Linked DNA regions of Saccharomyces cerevisiae S288C. The gene in region 1 interacts genetically with each later gene. Each region holds a gene or a part of one and is shown in the gene's direction. Other genes may lie near its edges.

What was found. A genetic interaction does not mean that the proteins touch.
Region 2: mutations in SEC22 (region 1) and GET2 together harm fitness more than expected from each alone (negative genetic interaction), as found in Saccharomyces cerevisiae (6 studies listed by BioGRID, with this or other methods).
Region 3: mutations in SEC22 (region 1) and GYP1 together harm fitness more than expected from each alone (negative genetic interaction), as found in Saccharomyces cerevisiae (6 studies listed by BioGRID, with this or other methods).

The regions. Positions count from the first base shown.
Region 1 is NC_001144.5:675,641-683,687, forward strand, and holds SEC22 (SNAP receptor SEC22), read left to right. Parts: upstream 1-4,559; coding exon 4,560-5,204; downstream 5,205-8,047. Other genes in the region: PDR8 (Pdr8p), read right to left, coding at 1-2,084; BOP2 (Bop2p), read left to right, coding at 2,572-4,284; DCS1 (5'-(N(7)-methyl 5'-triphosphoguanosine)-(mRNA) diphosphatase), read left to right, coding at 5,546-6,598; CMG1 (Cmg1p), read left to right, coding at 7,097-7,921; condensin subunit YCS4, read right to left, coding at 8,032-8,047. UniProt on the Saccharomyces cerevisiae protein: Nonessential SNARE involved in targeting and fusion of ER-derived transport vesicles with the Golgi complex as well as Golgi-derived retrograde transport vesicles with the ER.
Region 2 is NC_001137.3:325,674-329,001, reverse strand, and holds GET2 (GET complex subunit GET2), read left to right. Parts: upstream 1-1,970; coding exon 1,971-2,828; downstream 2,829-3,328. Other genes in the region: threonine ammonia-lyase ILV1, read right to left, coding at 1-525; YER085C (uncharacterized protein), read left to right, coding at 862-1,383; YER084W (uncharacterized protein), read right to left, coding at 1,551-1,937; UTP7 (Utp7p), read left to right, coding at 3,066-3,328. UniProt on the Saccharomyces cerevisiae protein: Required for the post-translational delivery of tail-anchored (TA) proteins to the endoplasmic reticulum.
Region 3 is NC_001147.6:455,407-459,758, reverse strand, and holds GYP1 (GTPase-activating protein GYP1), read left to right. Parts: upstream 1-1,938; coding exon 1,939-3,852; downstream 3,853-4,352. Other genes in the region: NRT1 (nicotinamide riboside transporter), read left to right, coding at 1-279; VPS5 (sorting nexin 1), read right to left, coding at 3,964-4,352. UniProt on the Saccharomyces cerevisiae protein: GTPase-activating protein (GAP) that stimulates specifically the intrinsic GTPase activity of Ypt/Rab-type GTPases YPT1 and YPT7. Functions on the Golgi as a negative regulator of YPT1. Functions on the vacuole as a negative regulator of YPT7.

The DNA.
Region 1 (8,047 bases):
TTATAAAATTTCTTTTTGTCAATGGACCAAAGGTCTTTGGAAATCTCTTTGAACGTTTTCCAAACATCATTAATAAAATCTTCAATCATGAGATCACTGAAGTGCTCCATATTAATGCCCTTTTTCAGCCAAATTTTTTCAGTCTCTATTCTTGCTTGGGACGCTTTATCGAATAAAACCCTACTTACGCGTTCAAACGCCAAAGTTGAAGTTAACTGATAAAAATTGGAAACTGCTTTTAACAATCGCTTATTTCTTTCATTAACAGCAAATATGCTATCAATAATTTCGTAAAATCTTATTATTGTTCCTGAAAATGACAGAAATTTATCAGTCCTAACATCGAATCCTGTCAAAAGTTCATCAAAGTTTTCTTCTTCATATTTAATGAATTGTATTTTTTTCCCAGTGTCAAGGTCAATAAGGAAAAGGAATGCCTTCTCCCTGAAGATTAACCTATTAAATGCTAAACTGTACACTTGCGATACTATTCGTATTAAAAGTGGATTGATTAGAATAATAGACAGTTTTAGCCCTTCAGTTAACACGTTCTCCTGGTCGTTGATAGGCTCTTTAAAATGAAATACCATTGTATTAACACAGACTGATATGGATATCAACAAGAACTGAACCATTCTGTTCTTATCTATGATTCTGCTTTGTTGAGCGATGATCATCTCAATATTGTATATACTAGCAACTATACTTAGAGATCTTGATAAAATCAATATATCAAAGGGATCAATATCAGAGTAGTAAACTGAATTTGTATAATGTTCGATAGGTGAAAAGTTAGATTGTATAAATTCAATCAATCTCAATGAAAAAGTGGTCAATTTTTCGTTCATCTCTCTCTTGTGAATTTCACGAGTAGTGAATCGGGAAACATCTAAAAAATCGTGCATTAGCTTAACTCTCCTAAAGTCAATACTCGGTGATTGGAAATTCTGCGCAGTAAATATACTTAAGTCCAAAAGATCATCTGAAATAGACGGAGGATTACCTATATCATATGAGGTGGATACATCAAGGAATAAAGCCCAAAACCAAATACACCTCAAGTTTTGTTTGGTTTCCTCACTTTCGTTCAAATACCATTTATCAATATCATTTAAACCCAAACTTATGCACCCCTGGCATAGCTCGTTGATTAAGTCAACGCCTTGAGTCGCATCCCATACACCGTCCGTGCAATTTATCATTACACTAATATAGGACAATAAGAAAAATTGTAGTTTTTCCACGAAATTTGAGCTCGATGATGACAAGGACGCTGCACTTAAAGTGTGAAGGAAATGACTCACGGAAGAAGGGATATCTTGGTTATAATAGCCCAAGCAAAGAATTTGAAGTACAATGCCAAGATTATACTTATCTTTTGCATTACCTTGCAAATCGAGGAGGATGACTAGGTTCTTGTCCGTGGTATCTCTAATAAAAAGTCTGTCCAAGAGGGACAGAATATCGTCTTGGTTGAAGATATGCAATATGCCGAACAGCGGTCCAGCAAAAAAAGATTTAATACAGCTTTCCATTTGAGGAAAACTAGGCAAATCTGCTACAACATCATTTTCATTTAATTGCGATTTAGTGCATTCAGGAAGTGGTTTCAAGACTTTCCATAAATTTTGAAACTCAGTTTGAAACTTATTTTGTTCAAACAAAGATAAAGTTTTCCAGGAAGTGGGGCCAAACACATACCTCGAGCCATTATCACCTAAAACCGAAGTTCTCAGTGACCGTAATGGATTTTCTGAACTCCTGCAATACACCGGTTTCGCATTATTGTTATCGTTTTCCTTCAGTAGAGTCTGCAAATTCTCAATCTTCTGAACCAACGCTACATTGGGCACTTGCTCGAACAGTTCCGTATTAGACAAGGGATAGTTGAACTCTTCTGTGTAAACGCATTGCGGTAGTTTTCTAATTACACATTGCTGACACATAGGCCTGGCCTGACTGCATTTCAGTTTTCTTTTTCTACAAAATGCACATGACTTGATGACCTTCCTCCTCTTGCCCTTCTTACCACTTGAAACGGGCTCTCCGGTAGTAGATTTCATAGGAAAATGGGATCCATCCATCCCAACAAACTAAGTGCCGTTTGCCTCTTTCTTATTCGTCCCGTACCAACCACGTGTTTTCCACCTGTCATGGGCTTTTCAAGAGTTTGTCAACGCGGAAAGGCGCCGCATTGCACCTTGTCGTGATGTATTCTAAGTACAAGTAGTAAAGAAGTAATGACCCTGTTGTTATTGCTCCACTGCTGACCGCTGTTAATGCCTCTTCATGATTTCTGAGTCATTGTTGTACCCTCTGGCGAATAAGCCACTGTTGGTTTTGTGTGCATGTTGGAAAGGCGTTGCAACGGACTGTAACTCCACACACGAAAGAACCCTTAATTTTCAGCCGCTCGTTATTTTATTCAGTTGATCATTTCTTGTATAAATAGATTTAAGCAAATTTAAAGTTGATGATTCTATCTTCACAGCTAGAGCTCTACGTGAAATTTGTGCAATATATAGGCTGTGATTTCGAAAGTTATATATTCTCCGGGTAGAAGTGAAAAGGATGGTTGCCGCTTTAACGTATTTGCCTACTGAGCTTATCCAAAGGATATTTGAGTTCACTGTGGTGGAAACAGACTCTCAATATTGGTTGTACAATTTAGTGGCTCTAATTGATTTTTCTGTCTCTTCGAGAGGTGGTGGCTCTATAACGGAAGACTTCTTGACAAATTACGTTAGGAAGAATTTGATGGTTTTAGATCTGACCTGTGAGGCCACGCAAGACTCGATTTTACGAGCGGAGTACGGGTTTCTGAAGAGATTGTTGCCATACATTGACATGGACGCACAATATATCAGAGTTGTTGATTTGGAAACCAATGCTGACAAGGCCCAGAATTTAAAAGCAGAAAAACTTATTGTTATATTTGACGAATTCTCAGATTTGAAACTCATAGAAACCTTCTTCCCCTTGGCGAATTCCAATTCAAACATAATCGAGTTCGTATTCTGTGTTCGCAATATAAAGAGTTCGTTTTATTCACCTTTGGAAAAATTACATATTGCGAACATAGTCGCAGATATTGATATTAACACATTGTATCTGGACTTCGTGGATTCAAATATCTATTCGGATCAAAATTTCTTTGGGATTTTTGATCCCGATATTTTTCAGCTGATTAATAAAAACTATAGAAACTTCTTTTCTAAGACTAACGAAAAGGGGAAGAAAAGACCCCCCATTTGCAAGAAAATCTGTTTTCCCTTTGTTGAAACATTGAATTTGGATTATATGGCCCTTGATTCATTCTTTAATTCGATACTGCATAAACTAACAACAAAGATAAAAACATTTGAAAGGAACAATGAGTTTGACGTGGATAAAAATTTAAATTTAAACTCGACAACGACAGTAGCAGCTTTAATTATCAAGTCGATCTTGCAACAATTCTTCAACAATTTTCATATCAGCTTCCCTAATTTGGTTACCTTGAATTTTATTAAGATGTCTACCTACCCAAACAATAATGAGATTACCCAATGTTGTAACTTCATAGATTTATCTTCATATGTTCTAAACAAATGTTTAAGTGAGAATATCTCGATAAATTTCCTCTTTCAGTTGCACTCTTTGAAAAATTGGTCAATGCCCAAGATTAAAGAATTCACTGGGCACAAATTCAAGTATGACGAAACAACATTTTCAGGTTCACCAGAAAGGTACATCAAATCATTGAGGGGAAACATTAAAATTTTGCAAGAAATGGCAATTAACGAAACCAACGATGGTACTTGCTATTTCAGAGTCAAGTTGATACCTGAGGGGGTAGAAAAAACTCAAATAATCAACTGGATCCCCTTTACTTCTTCATTTAGCGATGATACCTTCAAACAAAGACACCATTTAAAGAGGCCAATGATTTGCTTGAAGAACAACTCTTTAAGATCGCTCACTGTCAAAATCATACGTATTGAAAAATGTTCATCCATCCGAATCCAGGGATTTTACCTACCAAATCTGCAGGAACTGTTCATCAACAATACCCTTTGCGACACCACCCAACACCAAAAACAAGCGTCAAATGATATGAGTTGTATAGAGTTCACTTCATGGAATGAACTACCACAATGCAAGAAATTGGGATTTGCTCAATTAGAGGACGACTCTAACTACGTTCTTAATATCAGTAACCTACAAGACCATTTACCAAATCTGGACCTGCGGGAGAGTTTCCCAACTTTCTTCGATATAAGACAGAAGTTTGTCGTGGTTTGAGGTCTAATTTTCAACCAAACGTGTTGTACTAGCATATATAATTAAATAAATTTCTCTAGTTATCACTTGATTTATCTAATAAGAGACGTCATAAACGAATTTTTTTTTAGCAATAAATCCTCAACGCTTTTTGTTTTCATTTTTCGGTCTTTTTCTACCATAGAAGATAAACAAGTAGAGCCCATGTAATATAATATATCTACAACCTATTATTACCCAAAACCAACAAAAACCCTGACAGTGACACCCCGTTACACACTCACAATTAAGTAGGGATGATAAAGTCAACACTAATCTACAGAGAAGATGGGCTGCCTCTTTGTACGTCTGTGGACAACGAAAATGATCCCTCATTATTTGAACAAAAGCAAAAGGTGAAAATCGTCGTTTCCAGATTGACACCACAGTCTGCCACGGAGGCTACTTTGGAAAGTGGCTCCTTTGAGATCCATTATTTGAAGAAATCCATGGTGTACTACTTCGTCATTTGCGAATCTGGATACCCAAGAAACTTAGCATTCTCATACCTTAACGATATAGCGCAAGAATTTGAACACTCATTTGCTAATGAGTACCCCAAGCCTACCGTAAGACCATACCAGTTTGTAAACTTTGATAACTTTCTACAGATGACAAAAAAGTCATACAGTGATAAGAAAGTTCAGGACAATTTGGACCAACTAAACCAAGAGCTTGTAGGTGTCAAGCAAATCATGTCCAAGAACATCGAAGACCTACTTTACAGGGGAGATTCTCTCGATAAAATGAGTGACATGAGTTCTTCTTTGAAAGAAACATCCAAAAGGTACAGAAAGTCCGCGCAAAAGATCAACTTCGATCTCTTGATCAGTCAATATGCTCCTATTGTCATTGTCGCTTTCTTTTTCGTCTTTCTCTTCTGGTGGATCTTCCTCAAATAGACGTCACCCCATCATCCCACATCACAAATCCCGATCAATTTGGTCCAAGTGTATAACATAGTCTAGTTCAGTATTAGTATAGTATGGCAATTTATTTGACATAATTACGTATTTTTCAGGCAAGCTGGCAGGTGACCCGCCGCACCTGCACTTTTTAGGGAGTCTTTTCAAGGATATCATCACTATATATCGAAGGAAAAGAGGCTTTCCAACTCTTTTGGATGATCGAATTGCCATCACTACTCTATTAACTGTCTGTGTATTAACTAAATAATCACATAGTATTAAGTTATAATTCCTGGAAAAAAAAAGAAAGCGAAACGACAAAATTAGCATATACCATGTCTCAACTGCCAACAGATTTTGCTTCATTGATCAAGAGATTCCAATTTGTTAGTGTCCTCGATTCCAACCCTCAAACCAAAGTTATGTCCTTATTGGGAACCATTGACAACAAGGATGCTATTATCACGGCTGAAAAGACGCACTTTCTATTTGACGAAACCGTGAGAAGACCCTCTCAAGATGGCCGCTCCACTCCAGTTTTATATAATTGTGAAAACGAATATTCTTGCATCAACGGAATTCAGGAATTAAAGGAGATTACTTCCAATGATATTTACTACTGGGGTTTGTCAGTGATAAAGCAGGATATGGAGTCGAACCCTACCGCCAAGTTGAATTTAATTTGGCCTGCTACTCCAATTCATATCAAGAAATATGAACAACAAAACTTTCATTTAGTCAGAGAGACTCCTGAGATGTACAAGAGAATTGTTCAGCCTTACATCGAAGAAATGTGTAATAACGGTAGACTTAAATGGGTAAACAACATTCTTTATGAAGGCGCTGAGTCAGAAAGGGTCGTTTATAAAGATTTTTCTGAGGAGAATAAGGACGACGGCTTCCTAATTTTACCTGATATGAAATGGGATGGCATGAACTTAGACTCTTTATATCTAGTTGCGATCGTCTACAGGACCGATATCAAGACAATAAGGGATTTAAGATATTCTGACAGACAGTGGTTAATCAACTTGAACAACAAGATTAGATCCATTGTTCCTGGTTGTTACAACTATGCTGTCCATCCGGATGAGTTGAGAATTTTGGTTCACTACCAACCTTCTTATTATCATTTCCACATTCACATCGTTAACATAAAGCATCCCGGTTTAGGTAATAGTATTGCCGCGGGCAAGGCCATCTTGTTGGAAGACATCATTGAAATGTTAAATTATCTAGGACCAGAAGGCTACATGAACAAGACAATCACCTACGCTATTGGTGAAAATCATGATTTGTGGAAAAGGGGTCTGGAAGAAGAACTCACTAAACAATTGGAAAGAGATGGTATCCCAAAAATACCCAAGATTGTGAACGGTTTTAAATAAAGGTTGTTAAAATTCTCACATCATCCACCTTTTTCCTACTCTCATTTTCTTTTTTTGAAAGTTGTTTGTTTTATATACCTTAGTTTCACAACAACATAAGGCATGCCTATTTGAGATTTTGTGATTAAAAAATAATAGAATACGTACTATATAACCGTCGGTTTAAAGTAAATAAATTAAAGACTAAGAATGAAACAATTAAAAACACTGTTCAATAACGTTGCTCTATCCTCCTGAGTCTTCCGGATCCTGTCTCCATTTTTTTGTGTGGTGACGAGTTGAGATAAAAAGATTTCCACTGCTGAGAATAATATCTATAATCGATAATGAAAGTTAGAACGATCACGTTGACTCTGAAATATAGTCAATAGAAAAAATTAGGTATCAATTCAATTGTAATATTTACTGGATTGAATTTAATTTAAGAATTACAGAATAAGAGGACGGACAATAAGAGGTACGCTACACATCTACCATCACTTTCAGGGAGGGCATAAAATGGAGGAGAGTAAGACAAAAAGAAAAGAGGATCGCATAGATTTGAAGAATACACCGCCTCAGAAGAAGTCAAAAAGAGATTCAACAAATGACGAAACTGCACGCACATCACTACGTTCAATCATGCCCAGGGGTTATAAAATGATGGAAAACATGGGTTACAAAGAAGGAGAAACATTAGGTAGTAATGAAAGTGCCCTAAAAGAGCCTATTAAGGTAGAAATCAATACAAAAAGGAGGGGAATTCGTGCAGAAAAGCCCGACCCATCAACAATGAATGACATGCAGATGAGTGAACAACGATTTATAAAAAGAGAAAGTGAAATGAAAAATAATAAGCGGTTAAAAAAAATTTGGTATAGGATCCAAAAAGTTGCTTTTGAAATGATGGGTGATTCCGATTTATACAATCCAGGCGAAGATCCGAGAGACTTTAACGTACTTTGGAGATCTTACGTTATGCAACTAAATGAGGAAGTAGCAAAAAATGACCTAAATAATCACAGTAACAATGATAATGAAGATAAGAATAATATGATACCAATGGTAAATGAAAGTTTGGAGGCTTCGCCTGCAATAAAAGGTGAAAAGTTTGGACGTCCTTCTACATTAATAGATTGTGATACTTCAATTATCGGTAGTCGCATTACAAAAGACACAGAACTTGCTGAATTAGAAGAATTGAGCATTGAAAAAAGAATAACAAAATTGAATATATTCCTGAGGTCCGAGAAGTACTACTGTTTTTTTTGCGGAATCAAGTATAAGGATGAAGGTGATCTCTACGAGCATTGCCCAGGAGTGAATGAAGACGACCACAAATGAATTTTATCGAGATAGGTAAAGTCATATTTCAAGAAGAAAGAAATGAACAGCTTTTATTTATATAATAACATATAATATAAAACGGAAGAAACGGGTAAACGTCAGTTCGATTATTCTTTTGCGGAT
Region 2 (3,328 bases), on another chromosome or scaffold:
GACTTGAGACCCTAATCTCGAGACATTTTGATACTTAATAGATGGTGTACAAACAGGCATAACGATAGTAGCAGGTATTTTCAAGTGTTTAGCAGCAAAGGCCACACCTTGGGCATGATTCCCAGCTGAACAGGCAATAACACCCTGGTTTCTTTGAGAATCGTCCAACTTGGCAATCATGTTATAGGCACCACGAAGCTTGAAAGAGAAAACAGGCAATAGATCTTCTCTTTTCAAGATGACATTCGTGTTTAGACGGGAAGACAAACCTACACCTTGAGAGATTGGAGATTCATTAATAACATCGTATACAGAGGACCTTAAAACTAAACGGACGTAATCAGGGGTGTTATCAGTTTGCAGCTCATCCAATTTCAATTCAGAGTGTAGTTTTATCAAGGAAGGTGACAGGTGTTGTCTGTGCAAATGAGCCTTTAGTCTCAAAAGGTTCAATCCAGACACTTTGGACTGTTTACCTTGCCGAACAACCGTACATAATGGTTGCTTTAGTAGAGTAGCTGACATCACTAACTTTGTGTAATTGACTTAGTTTAAATGTGGCTTGTAGCACTCACACAAGAAAGAACTCAAAGCAGCAACAACAAAAGTTTTCAAAGCTGATAATGAAGTATCTGCAGACATATGTTTGAGATGACTCTTTTTCTTTGATATTTTTTTTTTCTTTTTATGCGATTCCAAATTTGCTACCCGCTGCGCTTTTTCTTTTTGCCCTTCTTATTTTTTCTTTTTCGCGTCAATTAAAATTGAACGTCACAAAATAGCAGAGATAATATGCAATAAAGAGAGAAGAGTTAAAGAGTCTTGGTAGTCAGGAAAAGGTTTTCATATTCATCAGACATAATGAATTTCAAGGAGCCGCTAGTGAATTTTTTAAAATGCGTCTTGAATAACATAAACTCGGCATTTTCGCATAGGATTGATCAATTGCAATTGCAGCTGTTGCGGGAAACAAATATCTTGAGGGTTTTGAACAGGGGAATAGAGAGACTGTTTAGCGAGAATCCAAGGACCCATTCTGTTTCCCGTATCGTGGTGGAAAAAGATGTGGGCTGCAGAATTGGACGATATGTGGAAGGTTCTAAATATGAACTGGTAGAGTCCAGGGCGAAAGAAATACAAATATATTATGAAAGGATGGTTTTTGAAATAACACAAGAATTGAAAGGGGACAAGCGGGTGTTTGCCTTGATTGCAAATCTTTCCCAAAGATATAGCGCAGAGAGGAAAGAAATACGAAATGTAAAGGTGCATGGTGGGCGGCCATGTAATGAGAACGAATTCCAGGTGATTCCGATAAGATTCAAACCTATTAATTTGGAAAGAAGAGCACGACTGATAAGAAAGAAGAAGACTATTAATTAAAAAACTTACATACAAATACATGCCTTACTTTCGATGCCAGCATCTGGAAAGGGAAAGGCAGGGGCAGAGGGACATATTACTTATCTATTTATGCATAATTTGTGTTATATATTGGTATGATAACTTGATGTTAGAGAATGTGCTATTCTGTTTCTTGAAAATCTGAGTTAAGGTTGATACCGCTTTGATACAGCGGGTGTGACAGGTTTATCTGTGACGGTGACAGGGGCAGTAGAACTACTGGAAGCCGCAAAGTCAGAGGATACTGTGAGTGGTGGTGCCCACAACGTGGATGGTCTCAGTTTGACCCTAGGACTTGCAGAAGATCCTGTGGGAAAATCCGGGGAAGGCGGATGGCTACTTGGGTTGAGCATTACTCTCTTTGTGAAAAGGGAGGGAGGGAGAAGTTTGGGGATGAGATGGTTGCTCTTATAACATAAGGTAAATAAAAATTTGGGGTGACCCCGCCGTGCGCGTTTGCTGGGACAAAAGAACAAGAATAGGAACATGAAAAGATTTGAATGATATGGATATGTACAAATGAGCTCTTCCATGTTTGTAGCATCAGCAACGTAGCTCTAGGAAATATGTCTGAATTAACAGAGGCGGAAAAGCGCAGGTTACTAAGGGAAAGGAGACAGAAGAAGTTTAGCAATGGAGGTGCCAGCTCCAGGCTTAATAAAATCACCGGGCAGGCAAGCAGTCATTTGAACGCAGAATCACCTTTAGACGCTCCTAGCGCTGCAAAGACCACACCACCTGCGAGTGTGCATTCGGCTACTCCAGATATCAAAGAAGATAGCAACGTAGCGCCCCAATTGGACCTATTGAAACAGCTCGCTGCCATGCAAGGCCAAGGTACGGGTAAAAGTACCCCTCAGGACTCCTCTACGCCCGATCTACTCTCACTACTAAGTTCTATGAACACTGGCATGCCCAGTGCAGAGGGTACACCATCGTTTGGTCAAGCGGCTCCTGCAGCCCCGATCAATCAAGCTGCTTTGGACTACCATGATTACTTGCTGAACAGACTGAAAGCCTGGACCATTCTTGTGAAGTGGGTCTTTTTCCTACTACCCTATCTATACCTAATCACAAGACCAAATTCCTCTGTGTGGCCGGCCTATGCATTTACTCAATCAGCTTGGTTTGCACCTTTGCGGAACCCATCGAATTTCACTAGAATTTTTGCCACGTTTGAGTTCCTTTCCATATCCATCTACTACCAGCTATTGAAGAATGTGGAACACAAGAGCAAGATTAAAAATTTACAAGATACCAATAAACTTGTCAAGTTAGTTTCACTGGTGCCCGAGGGAGTAATTCCCGTCGCCAACCTGAAGGGGAAGCTAATTACCCTTTTGCAATACTGGGATCTATTGTCCATGCTAATCACTGACATTTCGTTTGTGCTAATTGTCTTAGGCTTATTGACGTACTTATAAATTCTAGATAGTTCAGTAATATAATACATTGTTCTCATAACCCGACATTATTCCCGGCTTTCTTTTCAGGTAATTGAAAAAAAAAGAAAAACGGTAAGAAAATTTTCTAAGCGATGAGTTCGTGAAAAATCGATGTATAGAACTGAATTGGAGTTCAATAGTAAAAAAAAATCCATATATAGCATTAAAAACTCAGTATCCTAGCTTTAAGAAACTGAACCAGATTCCAACGACACAATGGGTCACAAGAAGAACGGTCACAGACGCCAGATAAAAGAAAGAGAAAACCAGAATAAATTTGAACGTTCCACATATACTAATAATGCTAAAAATAATCATACTCAAACAAAGGATAAAAAACTAAGAGCAGGCTTGAAAAAAATAGACGAGCAATATAAAAAGGCGGTATCTTCTGCTGCGGCAACAGATTACCTTTTACCCGAGTCCAATGGTTATTTGGAACCTGAGAATGAGCTAGAAAAGACTTTCAAAGTGCAACA
Region 3 (4,352 bases), on another chromosome or scaffold:
ACTGTTAGACATGATGACAAAGATTACTATGGTGCATTTACCGACGAAGAAGCGAGAAAGAAGGGCATGATTCCATACAGTGAAATTTCTGAGGAAGAAATCCGTGCTTACACGTTAGGCGAATGCTACACAACTGGACACGAATACAAACCTGAGAGTTCTGATAACGAATCACCTGAATTGATCAAAACTAGCTCAGAAAACACTAACGTATTTGAAATCGTTCACCAAAAGGATGATGAAAAGCACTCCTTTAGTACCACTCAACAAGTTGTCTGATGACAAAGAATCCGATAAAATGAAGATCTCAAATATACAAAGAGGAAACTTCAACGCTTCATTTGAAAATCTGTACAGATCTTACAATTTGGGAATACTACCAGATCGATCCTCAGCTGCAAATACTTTACTGTCAAGTATGTCTATGGTGACAAATATCGGCATTATTGTGTATGGCTCAATAATTTTATAAAAAAAGGAACTATTGGTTCTTAGTATTTTCTTGCTAGAAGACATATTCTTACCAATCCTTTCATAAGCTAATTATGCCATCCATATAGCAAGAGAATCCGGTGGGGGCGCCATGCCTATCCGGCGGCAACATTATTACTCTGGTATACGGGCGTAACTCCATAATATGCCACCACTTACCTTTAACATGTTCATGGTAGGTACCCCACCCAGCCATAAGGAAATTTTCAAAGGCGTTGGATCAAAAAATAGGCCTTTATTTCATCGCGTGATTGAGGAGCATAACATGTTTAGTGAAGGTTTCTTTTGGAAAACTTCAGTCGCTCATTATTAGAACCAGGGAGGTCCAGGCTTTGCTGGTGGGAGAGAAAGCTTATGAAGCTGGGGTTGCAGATTTGTCGATTGGTCGCCAGTACACAGTTTTAAAAAGTCAGAGAATGTAGAGAAGTATGGATCTTTGAAACCCTTTTATTTTATTTTACTTTTTTTAGAATGACCTGTTCCCGACACTATGTAAGATCTAGCTTTTAACATATTATGGAAACCTGAAATGTAAAATCTGAATTTTTGTATATGTGTTTATATTTGGGTAGTTCTTTTGAGGAAAGCATGCATAGACTTGCTGTACGAACTTTATGTGACTTGTAGTGACGCTGTTTCATGAGACTTTAGCCCTTTGAACATATTATCATATCTCAGCTTGAAATACTATAGATTTACTTTTGCAGCCATTTCTTGGTGCTCCAAGGTTGTGCGTATCTATTACTTAATTTCTGTCCTTGCCAAGTTTTGCAGCAGGGCGGTCACAAGACTCCTCTGCCGTCATTCCTTAGTCCTTCGGGAACACACTTATTTATGTATTTGTATTCTACAATTCTACGGTGCACAAGGGTTGGGCACTGTTGAGCTCAGCACGCAACTATTGCTGGCATGAAGATAAGATTGATTTTTGGAAGAATAAGCTTGTGGAAGTTACCTGTCTCTTATTTTTTTTTCCTTTTTGCACTTTTTTTTGGTGATCACTTAGGTAACAATCTATAACACAGCAGTATGAACCCACTAGTTAACCATTCTGCGCCGATGGTATACCTTTTTCATTGCTTAATTGTCTGTGAGAGGCTTGATAAGCTAAGGCTCATGGCGATAAATCCACGATGAACTCGTTTAATGCAAAATATAGGTCGCGGCTTGCCGGGTACCAAGTCGCAACAAAGCTCCCCGAATTGTTTCGCCCATTCATCTGACAGGACAGAATGCCAAACATATGATGCATGATGCAGCAAAGAGCACAGTAATCACTATTTTCTGCATATCATATAGCCAGATTGCTATAGTGTTTGGCTTTTGTCCTGCTGTTAATTGTTTTGTTTTCTTTCTATTTTTATAACTATTATTGGAGAGTAGATCAAGGATACAAATAACAACAACAACCACCAATACCGACCACTTAATAAAAGTAACCATATAATGGGTGTGAGATCCGCTGCAAAGGAAATGCACGAACGGGACCATAATTCGGACAGTTCCAGTTTAGTAACTTCCCTGATGAAATCTTGGAGGATATCGTCGGCTTCTTCCTCCAAGAAGCCATCGTTATACAAAATGAATACTACTGAATCTACTAGTTTACCCTCGGGTTATGCTTCCTCGGCAGATAGAGATCGGAGAACCAGTGACGGTAATTTTGAAGCTATGGCAAAGCAACAAGCAAGCACTAGACGTACCTCGAATTCCTATTCACCTCTACGATATGTAAACCCCACTCTAAGCACTGCAAGTAACGAAAGTCCCCGGCCTGCTTTACTCTTACGTCAGCATCACCAGCGTCATCACCACCATCAACAACCCCGCCATAGCAGTAGTGGTAGTGTAGGCAACAATTGCAGTAACAGTACAGAGCCTAACAAAAAGGGTGATCGATATTTCAAAGACTTAGATGAGGATTGGAGTGCTGTTATTGACGATTATAATATGCCTATTCCTATACTTACTAACGGTGGATTTGGTACACCTGTAGCTCCAACGAGAACTTTGTCGCGAAAATCCACTTCTTCTTCCATCAATTCGATTTCGAATATGGGGACCTCCGCAGTACGGAATTCTTCCTCCTCTTTTACATACCCTCAATTACCACAGCTGCAAAAAGAGAAAACAAATGATTCCAAGAAAACTCAGTTGGAAATCGAAAACGAACGGGATGTTCAAGAATTAAACTCCATCATCCAGCGCATTTCTAAATTTGACAATATTTTGAAAGATAAGACAATCATAAATCAACAGGATCTGCGCCAGATCAGTTGGAATGGTATCCCAAAAATACACAGGCCTGTTGTTTGGAAATTATTAATAGGTTATTTGCCTGTGAACACCAAGAGACAGGAGGGTTTCTTACAAAGGAAGAGGAAAGAATATAGGGATAGTCTGAAACATACCTTTTCTGACCAGCACTCAAGAGATATCCCAACTTGGCATCAGATAGAGATAGATATACCGAGAACAAATCCCCACATTCCCCTCTACCAGTTCAAATCCGTACAGAACAGTTTACAACGAATACTATATCTTTGGGCAATCAGGCATCCTGCTAGCGGATATGTGCAAGGTATTAATGATTTAGTTACACCATTTTTCGAGACTTTTCTTACCGAATATCTGCCGCCTTCACAAATAGATGATGTAGAGATAAAGGACCCCTCTACTTATATGGTAGATGAACAGATTACAGATTTAGAAGCGGACACGTTTTGGTGTCTTACCAAATTGCTCGAACAAATTACCGATAACTATATTCACGGACAACCAGGCATATTAAGACAAGTGAAGAATTTGAGTCAGCTAGTGAAACGAATTGATGCTGATCTATATAACCATTTTCAAAATGAACATGTGGAGTTTATACAGTTTGCATTCAGATGGATGAATTGCCTTTTGATGAGAGAATTTCAAATGGGTACAGTAATAAGGATGTGGGACACATATTTATCTGAAACTTCACAAGAGGTCACTTCTTCTTATTCTATGTCGTCCAATGACATTAAACCTCCTGTTACTCCAACAGAACCTCGAGTGGCAAGTTTTGTTACACCAACAAAAGATTTCCAATCTCCCACCACAGCTCTTTCTAATATGACACCAAACAATGCTGTTGAAGACAGTGGAAAAATGAGACAGTCTTCGTTGAATGAGTTTCATGTGTTTGTTTGTGCTGCATTCCTCATCAAGTGGAGTGACCAGCTAATGGAAATGGATTTCCAAGAAACTATAACTTTCTTACAGAACCCTCCTACAAAGGACTGGACTGAAACGGATATTGAAATGCTTCTGAGCGAAGCCTTTATTTGGCAATCTCTTTACAAAGATGCTACGTCGCACTGGCTGTAAACGGACCTATTCATTTTACTTACTGTATAGTATGTAATAATATAAAACAAAAATCTCCTAATTCATAAATCCTGAGGAACGTGACACATAAAGTTATTGTATACAGATCATCTAAAGATTGGTTTGGTAGAATGTCTCCCAAAGCTCGATGCATTCTTTTTGAGATTCAATGGCCGCTTCTAGTGATATTTCCATGCCGTTTCGGAATTCCCGAATTTTATCAGTAGAGAAACCTTGGAATTCATCTTTTATTTTATCTCCTACCGCTTGCCATTGTTTTTTTGTAAGGTTATACCTTCTCTCCAATGTTTGAAATTCCTTTCTCATTTCTCTGAATTTTTCTGAATGAATATTTTGACCCAATTTGCCCAATTGTGAGTGTTTCTTATTCATGTCATTTTCTATTACTACCAAGAAATACCCCAATTTGGATCTCTGATTGAAAATTGCTTTTACGCTTGCCAATGACCTAATATAGTCGTCCAGCATCACACCCATCG